Linked DNA regions of Drosophila melanogaster. The gene in region 1 interacts genetically with each later gene. Each region holds a gene or a part of one and is shown in the gene's direction. Other genes may lie near its edges.

Evidence for each region.
Region 2: of Buffy (region 1) and prel, changing one suppresses a phenotype caused by changing the other (phenotypic suppression), as found in Drosophila melanogaster (one study listed by BioGRID).

What each region holds. Positions count from the first base shown.
Region 1 is NT_033778.4:11,677,458-11,682,568, forward strand, and holds the start of Buffy (buffy), read left to right. Parts: upstream 1-2,034; 5' UTR 2,035-2,129; intron 2,130-5,111. Other genes in the region: Roc2 (regulator of cullins 2), read right to left, coding at 749-908; Tret1-2 (trehalose transporter 1-2), read left to right, coding at 1-196, 257-441.
Region 2 is NT_033778.4:9,422,024-9,426,854, forward strand, and holds prel (preli-like), read left to right. Parts: upstream 1-2,063; 5' UTR 2,064-2,243; intron 2,244-2,305; exon of another isoform or gene 2,306-2,308; 5' UTR 2,309-2,437; intron 2,438-2,515; 5' UTR 2,516-2,577; coding exon 2,578-2,892; intron 2,893-3,223; coding exon 3,224-3,619; 3' UTR 3,620-4,084; downstream 4,085-4,831. Other genes in the region: CG13955 (uncharacterized protein), read right to left, coding at 395-553, 633-855, 943-1,245, 1,304-1,599.

The sequences.
Region 1 (5,111 bases):
TCCCATTTGGGTTGGTTGCCACTCACTTGCTTCGTTATCTACATTCTGGGATTCTCCCTGGGCTTCGGACCCATTCCCTGGCTGATGATGGGTGAGATTCTGCCAGCCAAGATTCGAGGACCGGCTGCATCGGTGGTCACGGCTTTCAACTGGTTCTGCACGTTTGTGGTAACCAAGACCTTCCAGGACCTCACGGGTGCGTAGTGCAACTAACTAAAATAAGTGGTGTAATAATATTTAATATTTTTGTGTGTAGTTGCTATGGGCGCGCATGGAGCCTTCTGGCTATTCGGCGCCATCTGCATCGTGGGTCTGTTCTTTGTGATTATTTTTGTGCCCGAAACGCGGGGCAAGTCGTTGGAGGAAATTGAGCGAAAGATGATGGGCCGTGTGCCCATGTCCTCGGTGGTCAACATCAAGCCATTTCCTTTCAACATGTAAATGGCGTGTTGCTAAGGATCTGAGATGCGTTCAAACCAAATAGTAGGGTGGTGTCTTCGTGCTTAAATTGTGAATTTTTAGGCAAGCGCAATAAATCAAAATTACCGTTGAAAAATACACCAATTGAAAGTTTTTAGGCACTTATGTATATGTGAGTAAAAAACATTTTCGCTTGCGATATGCACAAGATAGTGTTAACAAAGACACCAGTATAATAATATTCTAGTTACATATTGTTACATATGTAGGACCTTTTATTATTATTAATACTCAAGATTAGAGTTTTGAAATCAGTGGTATTGCTCACCCATAACTTGAACACGGCAAATGGCACAGATATCGCATTCCACATCCCAACTCCACATTGCAACTGCGTTCCATTTCTTCAGCGTAAACATTTTTTCCGGTTTGCCGGCATCTCCGTCGTCTGTGGGCCTATCCACTGAGTTTTCTGGATCATCAGCCATGTCAAAAAAGTCTGGGAAACTGACCAATCCACTGGGCTAATGAGATTCGGTTTTTTAATATTTTTTTTTTGTTTCTTGTGTATATCCTCCTGTATGGGAGATTTTAATTAGTATTACAAATAGCGGTTTAAAAATGTTTTTTAATTTTACAATACAATATATTAATTTTTTAAGGTTCTTTTATTTTTAATTTCCCTTTAATGTTTTATGTTTTTATTTTTATTTGGTAAACAATTTTAAGTTTTATTCGACCCCGTTTTTAAATATTTTTCTAACTGTTAATTTATAGGGTATTAGAAACTCTAAACCGGACCTATCTTAGTTATTGATTATTAGCAAATGGCAAAGTGGTCTAACCAGGTCCGGACATCAGTACGTAACTCAGGTTTAGGATTTTAAATAAGGTAATTATACAAATATTAGGAATATTACTCGAAAAATATGCTTAATAGGCGTAGGAGAGCTACAAGTAGAAAAGTTCAAAAATGATCAACAGGTGTTGCTTCCTTCCAACTGGTGGCGATAATTCTACGAACAAACGGTATATTAGTATTAGGGAACAGAGTAACGGGTATCTGATAGTTGAGCCATTCGACTAAGCGCATTCTTCTTGATTGTTTTTTGTTTTATGAATATTGGTAGCTGCGGAATAGGGGGATAGACTATAAAGCCTCTCACTTATCCCTGGTAAAAATGTAATTTACTTTCGTAGCAAGTGGCTGATACGAATTTTAATGTTTTGCTCAACTTGCCAAAAAGTTACTTCTTCCTCCGAGAACAAAGAAATGCCATTCTCAGTTGTATACGAAGGAAAGGTTATCACAGTGTTCGTTAAGTTGTTAACCTCACTCCTACTTCTTGCTTAGTTTCGGGCAAATGATAAGGAACCGCCGGTTTGACTTACCAACAAATAAGAAGTCGAAATAATTGAATGTAAACAATAGCAAGCCAAAAGTCAGTGTGGCCACACCAAAACAAGGGAAAACTATTTTCAGTGTTGCCACAGCCATTTAGGGGATACATTCACCTTATATGCACGGACACACCTATCGACGACCGATAATTAAATATCGATAAGGCGGTTAATTTGTTTTGTGATTTGGTTTTCGCTTACTTCAACTTCGGTTCAATTCATTTTCAGCCTTCGACGAGTGCGGAACGTTTGCGGCAGCGTTTTTCGGCCGCGCTTCTCAAGTTTCAGCTTGCGTTGGGAAATAAACGGTTGGTTTCCAATGCACTAACACAAATTTGACAATATAAATTATTTGCGGTTTCCGGTGATTACTTTAAAATGAAAACCTTCGAACGACAAAAGCTGACCGTGAATATACAGCAACCTGATTCCGATTCCGTTGCCAACCAGAACGCGCCCCGCATAAGTAATTAAGTAATTTCCATGCCGCTCAGCCGGAATCTAACAGTTCAGCCTTATTATTCGCCCATCGTAAACTGAAATTGAAAAAGATAATGGCAAATGACCCATTATCACTATCAGCACAAATGGCGCATCCGACAATCAAAGATAAACATCCCGTATCAATGCGATCCGATGCCAAATGTGCGATAAGCCGATTAAGGGAGTGGTATTTTAGTAAATAAATGTGGAGAAATTAGTTGTTTTTCACAGTAAGCAATAAATTTTCAAATAGCAAATGTAAAATCTACATAAGCCTTACAAAATGACGACGTGTTAAATGCCAATTAAGAGCAAATATCACCTGTGGCTAATGAAAATGTGCAATTTAATACAACCGCAAACAAATGTGGAAGTAACAAATAATGAAAATTTAAACAGATAAAGGTCATTTCGTAGACTTAAACACAAATGAGTGTCAAAAGCGATACGGATAAATATCAATAATTGCAAAATAAAACCCTTGAGTTGAACGCCCTTTTTTTTAACCGGAATAAAGAAGTAGCAGCTGAAGGAGAAACAGGCCAACAGCAAGTTTAATTTAATTAAATTTCGTTGTTTTCTGTGTGCGTGTGTGAGTGTGTTGTTGTTGCTTTTGTTGTTGGCTTTGCTGGATAATCAACGTAATGCTTCCACCCACATCGCGCGAAAGAGATAGCACTAGCGCAATTGACTTTGCCATAAATGATTTTTGGTTTTTTTTCTGCTATTTCTTTCTTGTTTTTTCATGCTTTTCTGTTTGTTTGTTTGTTTGTAAGTTGGTCGCTGGCAATTAGTGGAACGACAAATGTTTATTGACAAAGGCATTGGACACTTTGATTTACCGGGTCTATTCGGTTAAATTGTTTATGATTTTTAAGCGAAAATTATAGATATATGTACATGTGTATGTACATATGGGGGTGTTGTATCTCAGAGATATCGATGGTAAATGTGACACTTTGTGGGTGTATCTATAATCGTATAAAGTGGAACTCTAGTCGCTAAAAAATAAAATCAAACTCTTAAAGGCAGTTTTGTTTTCCTTATAAGCTAGATCGATAAATTTCCACAGCTTACCAGTAAATTTTCATTTAGAGCAGTTTCGAGTATATACAAAAGTGTTTAAAATTTTGCATGTGAAACTATAGCAAAGTTTCGAACATGTACATATAAATTTCAGAAAGCATATTTTAACAGGTTGTACATATATTCAAGATTTGAATGTCATAATTCATTTCAAAAGTAACTATCTGGTATATTTAAAAACCAAATTCCATCACAAAAGTGTGTTTATTTAATGTTTAAAAATGCCAATAAATGCTCAATTGCAACACCCATTTTCCAAGTATGAGTGCAAATGTTTTAGGGATTTCGAACAAGATCACTTCATGCCCCCGATGCCACAAAGCCTCGAGAAGTAAATGCAATTAACTGGCGAAAAGCACTTGCGCCCCCTTGCCCCTCCCTTTAGACCATATTAACTTGGCTTTAACGCCGTGCACGTTCGATTTGAATGACGCACATTGGCGGCTGAATGGTTGAAAAAGTGCAAAATCAACAATTAATGAACTGAACAATGTTTGCCACCTGTAACGTCTGAGGATGGTGTAAATTTCCAATTGCAAACGATGTCAAACAGAGGCGTTTTACCGTCTGCTAATTTCCCATTTTCATTTCAAGCCGAATGGCCACAAATAATACAACAAAAAATAATGAAATAATAATAATACAACAAAAAGCAGTAAAACCGCAAGATTGCGGCTATTTGCAAGCACTTTATGTGTCGTTTATGATATAGTATTACTATGCGCTGTCACTTCGGTCCGGCGATCAAATATGCAATTAAATGTAAAAAAAAAAAAAAAAATGGCAATTTAATGAACCCACATTTGATTAACCAATCAGCAGTCGAAAGTCAAATTGCTCCAAATCGCTTGTCATGCGCTCCGCGAATTTGATTCAAGCAAACAAACTGAGAGATACAAAAAGATATGCGAAATTCCAATACGGAGTCTGCGTAACTGTCAAATGTTGTAAAAAATCAATAACACAAATGTTAACATGCGCACAATGCTAAAAACGCATAAAAACGAGTCGAGCGGCCAATAAGGTTGGCAAAAAATGGCAAAACAAAAAATGAAATCAAATAAAATGAAATGAAATGAAATGCCTGGCGACGCTTTAAGGCAACTCGGTTTGGGCCAATCCAAGCCCGAGATAAAGCATTTGACACTTTTGGCTAATAAAAGTTGCTAATGAGTGCGCGCAACTCGCCGATTCCGAGTTGTTGATTTAGTTATATTTTTTGTGATCCGGCCAATCGGAAAGCATTAATAATTGGGTGTTGAGAGAGCAGTTTTACTGCACTAATTGTGCATAAATAAATAACAGCTTGTGTAATCCAATTAATTTGCAAATAGTTAAGTTGAATCGCCGAGGGAGAAGTTATCAAATGGGTAGGCTGTCTAGAAGTTAAAAGGCTATTTTATTTCCTTTAAATTGCTGTATTTTTATGAAAATACAGGTATACAAATTAAAGTTCAGGCATATTAAAAATGAAATTAAAAATAATAAAAGTTATTAACTGCTTAACCAAGAAAGAGATCATATATGTACATATATACATTTTCTAAGCATTTTATGTTTCGTGGTTTAAGAAGTATTATATATAATCTTGCATTTGAAATATGACATACGATTATGACATGTTTTCAAATTTATGGTTTTCGAAGTTCTTTTCATTTTTAATTATTGGATTTTTTAATATAAAGAATTTCTTTCTTACTATAGAACATACATCAATTCAA
Region 2 (4,831 bases), 2.3 Mb from region 1:
AGCTTCATTTATTTTATTGTGGAAAAATATTGTTTTACTTATCTTAAGAAGATTGATTAATATGGTGCTTATATATTTTTTATTTCGGAGAGGTTGGTTCGCATTACAATATCTTGACTGTACTGGCATTTCGCATTTGCATATTAGCCCGACGGCGGCTGGCAAAGTTGGTAGTTGGGGTTAGCCTGGTCAGCTTCCCTGGTGACGTTGATGGTGGGCATTATCACTGGTTTTATGCCGCCCGTGCATGATACGCTTTTCCTTATCGCCGCCATCGCTTGATTTATATCAGCCGTAAATATAATTGCAATATGGTATTCAAATGTGAGGCGTGACATGAGTGCGTGCCCATCGATCGATGGCAATGGCGATGACGATGTGTCCACCACTGGTACTAGCGCACTTCCTTGCCGTACGGTTGCTTCGGCTGCTGGCCAAGCACACACCCAGTGCCCAGGTATTTCCGATCCCGTGCCAGATCCTCTTCCCTGCGAGCAGCTCGCTCGGCAGCCGTGTGCGTCATGTACTGCTGGTGCCAATCGCGATTGTGAATCTGGAGCAATGAGAAGGGGTTGGGTTGTTGGCATTGTGACTAAGAGGAAAGGCAGTTGGAGGCGGGCATGCAAACTCACCCTGGCGCAACGCTTCTCCATGAGCTCCTCGTAAATCTGGCGGTCTTCGAGGATGTTGTAGCCCACATCCTCACGGATATTGGCCTGTGCTTGCCGAGCGCTGATGGTAAGATTCCATTTGATCTGATCCTGCAAGTCAATGAGCTGCTGGCGCCGTTTATCCTTGAGCTTCTTCAGATCTTCTTGTTTCTTGAGCACATCCATTTCGGCAGCCAGTTCCAGGCTATGAAAGGTAGTTGATTGGATTACCAACATAATCCATTCGATTAGTATATTAACTAACTGAATCTCTAGGGAACCTGGTACTCACGCCTGGGAACATTCCCGTTGGTCTGCCAACACCTCCTTGGCGAACTGGGCCTTCTGCTCCCGATCAGTGTCTAGATTGTGGGCTTGGCACCTGTTCTCAATCAAGTTGCGCAGTTTCAGCTCATGCTGCTCCTGCTGGGCCTTACTTTCGTCCAATCTCTGCCAGACGCGCTGCCAAAGAATCTCCACACAGGCCTGGCGGCGTTTGAGCGCCTTTTTCTCCTCGATTTGATGGAGTTGGGCTTGCTTGGACTCCAGCAGGATCTCCTTGGTTAGCATGTGACGATGGGCCTCGGAGTTCTCACTGAAAGTGAGGTGATTTCAGATGGAAAAGGACTTAAAATTCTACACTCAAAACCTACATCTCCCTTTGCTGCTTCTTTACTTTGACCAGCTCCATTTCGGCCTCCTCCCGCTTCAATCGCTCCATTTCGATCCATTCGTGTCGCTTTCGATCCGCTTCATCCGCCTGCGCCTGCAGCATCTCTGCAATCTGCTCATCCGCCTCCAAGGCTTCCTTTTGGAGAAGAAGACAGAGGTTCCAACGACGGTTGTCCAAATCCGCGTGCCATTCGTGCATCTTTTGCGCCACCTGGAAACTTATTTGAGATTTTAGATTGCGCCTATCGGTTCGTGTGAGGAATTCCACAACATCCATTTTTTTGAGCTTCTTTATTCTAATTGTACTTAATTATGTGAACTTTTGATTGTTTTCTGGTATCTAAGCACCGCACAATTCAAAAATTCCCATGACAACTATTTGTGAGTTAATTTTATAAATTTTTAAGCAATAAAATATTTGCAATAACTATTTCTCAAATAATAGATTTTATTTTTCGAAATTTAAATAATTAAATATTTAATTAAAACTAGATATGACCCAACATCCAATAAATTCATAATTTATTAGTTTAACATAGTAAATGTAGTAGTAAAATACCGGCAAACCTTTGATTTAAGTTATTTCAAGAACATTTGTCATATTTGCCAATTAATATTGAAAGCTTAAAAACATTTTTTAAGTGAAATTTAAAAGAAAACGTTTTGGCGCAAAACCAAACGTAAAATACTAAATAGTTGGGAAAATGCAAATTGTGGTATTATTGGCACACGCACCATCTGGCAACTTTGCGACCAGATGTTTCCGGATGGCCTTTGAACAGGCGTAAATTGTATCCAAATTGGCAGCAAACCCTTGGAAAGCAAGCAATGAAACCGTGTACAGACAGGAGAAGGGGGCACTGAAGGTCGAGGCAACGCAGGAATCGAGGGATATCGCCAGCAAATTGCCAGAAATTGAAGGTAACGAACCCGAAGCACCCTGTGCCGGAGTTTGTGACGCAGTTACACAACTAAATTCTTAGTAGGCGCCCAAAGTCGGGGCAACAACAAGCTGCTAGCTGAATCAACGTGTGCCAGCTAATTGGTGCCAATCACACTGCACTCTGGAGCTCTAAAACCGTAAGAGACCCCCGTTCTTGGACCCCCTCGCAAAGGTACGTCCATCGATTCGGCGATCTATTTTTAGCCGGAAACATGCGATTGCTATTGATGATTATCGGTTTATTTTTCAGATCAGGGACACGGCGGCTTTCACTTTCGAACACATCGGCGAGTTCATTGGTCCACCTTCAACATGGTCGTGGCAGCATCCACCTGCCGCACGGAGACGGTCTTCGATTACAGCTGGATGAACGTGGTGGTCGCCTACTGGAACCGCTACCCGAATCCCTCAAGCACGCACGTCCTCACCGAGGACACTATTCAGCGGGAGGTGCGCGATGGCAAGCTCTTCTCGCGCCGGCTGCTCTCCAAGACGAATCCGGTGCCGAAGTGGGGAGCTCGCTTCTACAACAATGTGCCGGTCAAGATTGTTGAGGACTCCGTGCTGGACCCGGTTAAAAAGACATTCACCACTTTCACCAGGAACCTGGGAATGACCAAGATAATGGCAAGTGATCGCACACCTACTACGATTGCTTTAAATAGGTCACATATCAATTTAAAGAAATGTCTAGAAGAATTCAGCCACTAGCTGTTGGGCATGACCGAAATACCGGCATAATACAAAAGCATAAGTGTTACCTAACAGATCGATGGTCAATGCTGTGGCATTGTTTGTTATATTTAACCCATGAAACGCATACAGAACATCGGGATCCGGTTAAGATTATTGTTCGATTTATTTTACTGCACCCTTTTAGTGAATATGTGAAATATGTTACTTAATCTTTTCAAGTTTAATTTAATCCTAATTAATGATCATTGTTTTTTCCTTTTAGAAAGTCGATGAAATTGTCGTCTACAGCGAGCAGAAGGATGGTAGTACTCTGGCGGTGCGAAGAGCATACATTAGTTCGCAGGTGTTCGGATTCTCGCGGGCCATTCGCGCCTTCGGCATCGAACGGTTTAAGGCCAATGGCAACAAGGCCTCCAATGGATTCAACTACGTGCTGCGGCGCATGTTTCCGGACAGTTTGGTTGGTGGAGGACATCACCAGCACGCGGTGACGACGACTTCGCCAGCTGGAGAACTTCCTGCAACGACCATCACCGTATCCACAACAAACGGCAGTCTCAACAACCAAGGAGCTCTCAAGAGCGCCGCAAAAGTGGGCTACGAGTTCTTCAAGAGTCATGCCTCCAAGATTGCGCAACTGTTTTCTGTCAAGAACTGAGGAACTTCTAGTCTGTACTTTTTGGAATAGATGTCGAATGGGACCGAAGATTTTAATGCTTTCGGCTCCGGGAGTTAAGGAGTTTGTGGATTTGACCAGGACGGAATTAGAATGACGAGCGGAGGAGTCGTGTCGCCGGGTGTTTTTAAACATTTATTCCAAAGCAAATCCAACTACATACTTTGCTGCATTTCATTCCGTGTGTGCGCGAATCAAACGGCTGATCTGAACGGAGACACAATTTGCTGAACACATTTCCTGCATGCTACCAAATTCTATTATTTATCGTTACTTATTTGCACTACATTATTATGTATCATTCTGTTAGGTCAAGAGCAGGAAATGAAAAGCCGTGTCAAAATTGGTATTGCTATGTAATATGTTGTATATTTTTATCAAAATATAAGAAAACCAACACTTGTAGTGGTTAAAAGTGTAGTTATTAAAATAAACTTAGTCTGTTAGAAATGTACGGCTGTTTCTTTGAACTGGGTCTAGTCATAAAAGAATTTATGTTTACAGAATTTATAATATTTATATTATACAATTTATGTAATATTTATAATATCTATTCATTTTTTTATTATTTTATTTTATTGTTATGGGCGGTTAATTTTTTAGTAAAGCTTGTTTATAATGAATTGTTAATATTAATCGGTTTTTAATGCGTACTATTTGATTCATTTGTATATATTTTTCAATTGGTTTTAAATTATTTCTCTGCAAATATTCGTTATAACCAAGGCTGCCATATTTTATACAGAAGTCAGCTGGCCCGGTGCTACCGGATCCGTGACGCAATTCCGTTGGTTTCCAACACTGCGGCTCTCCCACGCAAAAGCGCTCGCAGCTTTTAGGTAAAATCGGCGTTCTTTCGAACATTGGAGAATCCAGAGCCACCTGGAGTCGCATTCTTAATCCGAATTCCCAACCGTTCGCGTCAAAGTCGCGCAAAAACAAATAACTGCGAGTATAGTTAATCGCACGAAGAACTGCAGCTGAAATCGCGAGACAAAAGTGCACAAAAGACACAGCGAAGCAAATACCGTACAAATCGGCTGCGTTTATGGCGCACCAGGAGAAGAGAAAGAATTTGCGCCCCGCCGCCCCCGCCTTTCAACACAAAAACAACAACAACGTGGAGCAGAGCTAACACAAAAAAGATATATAGAATAAAATATATATTTTTGGTACCGCTTTTGTATGGTTAAA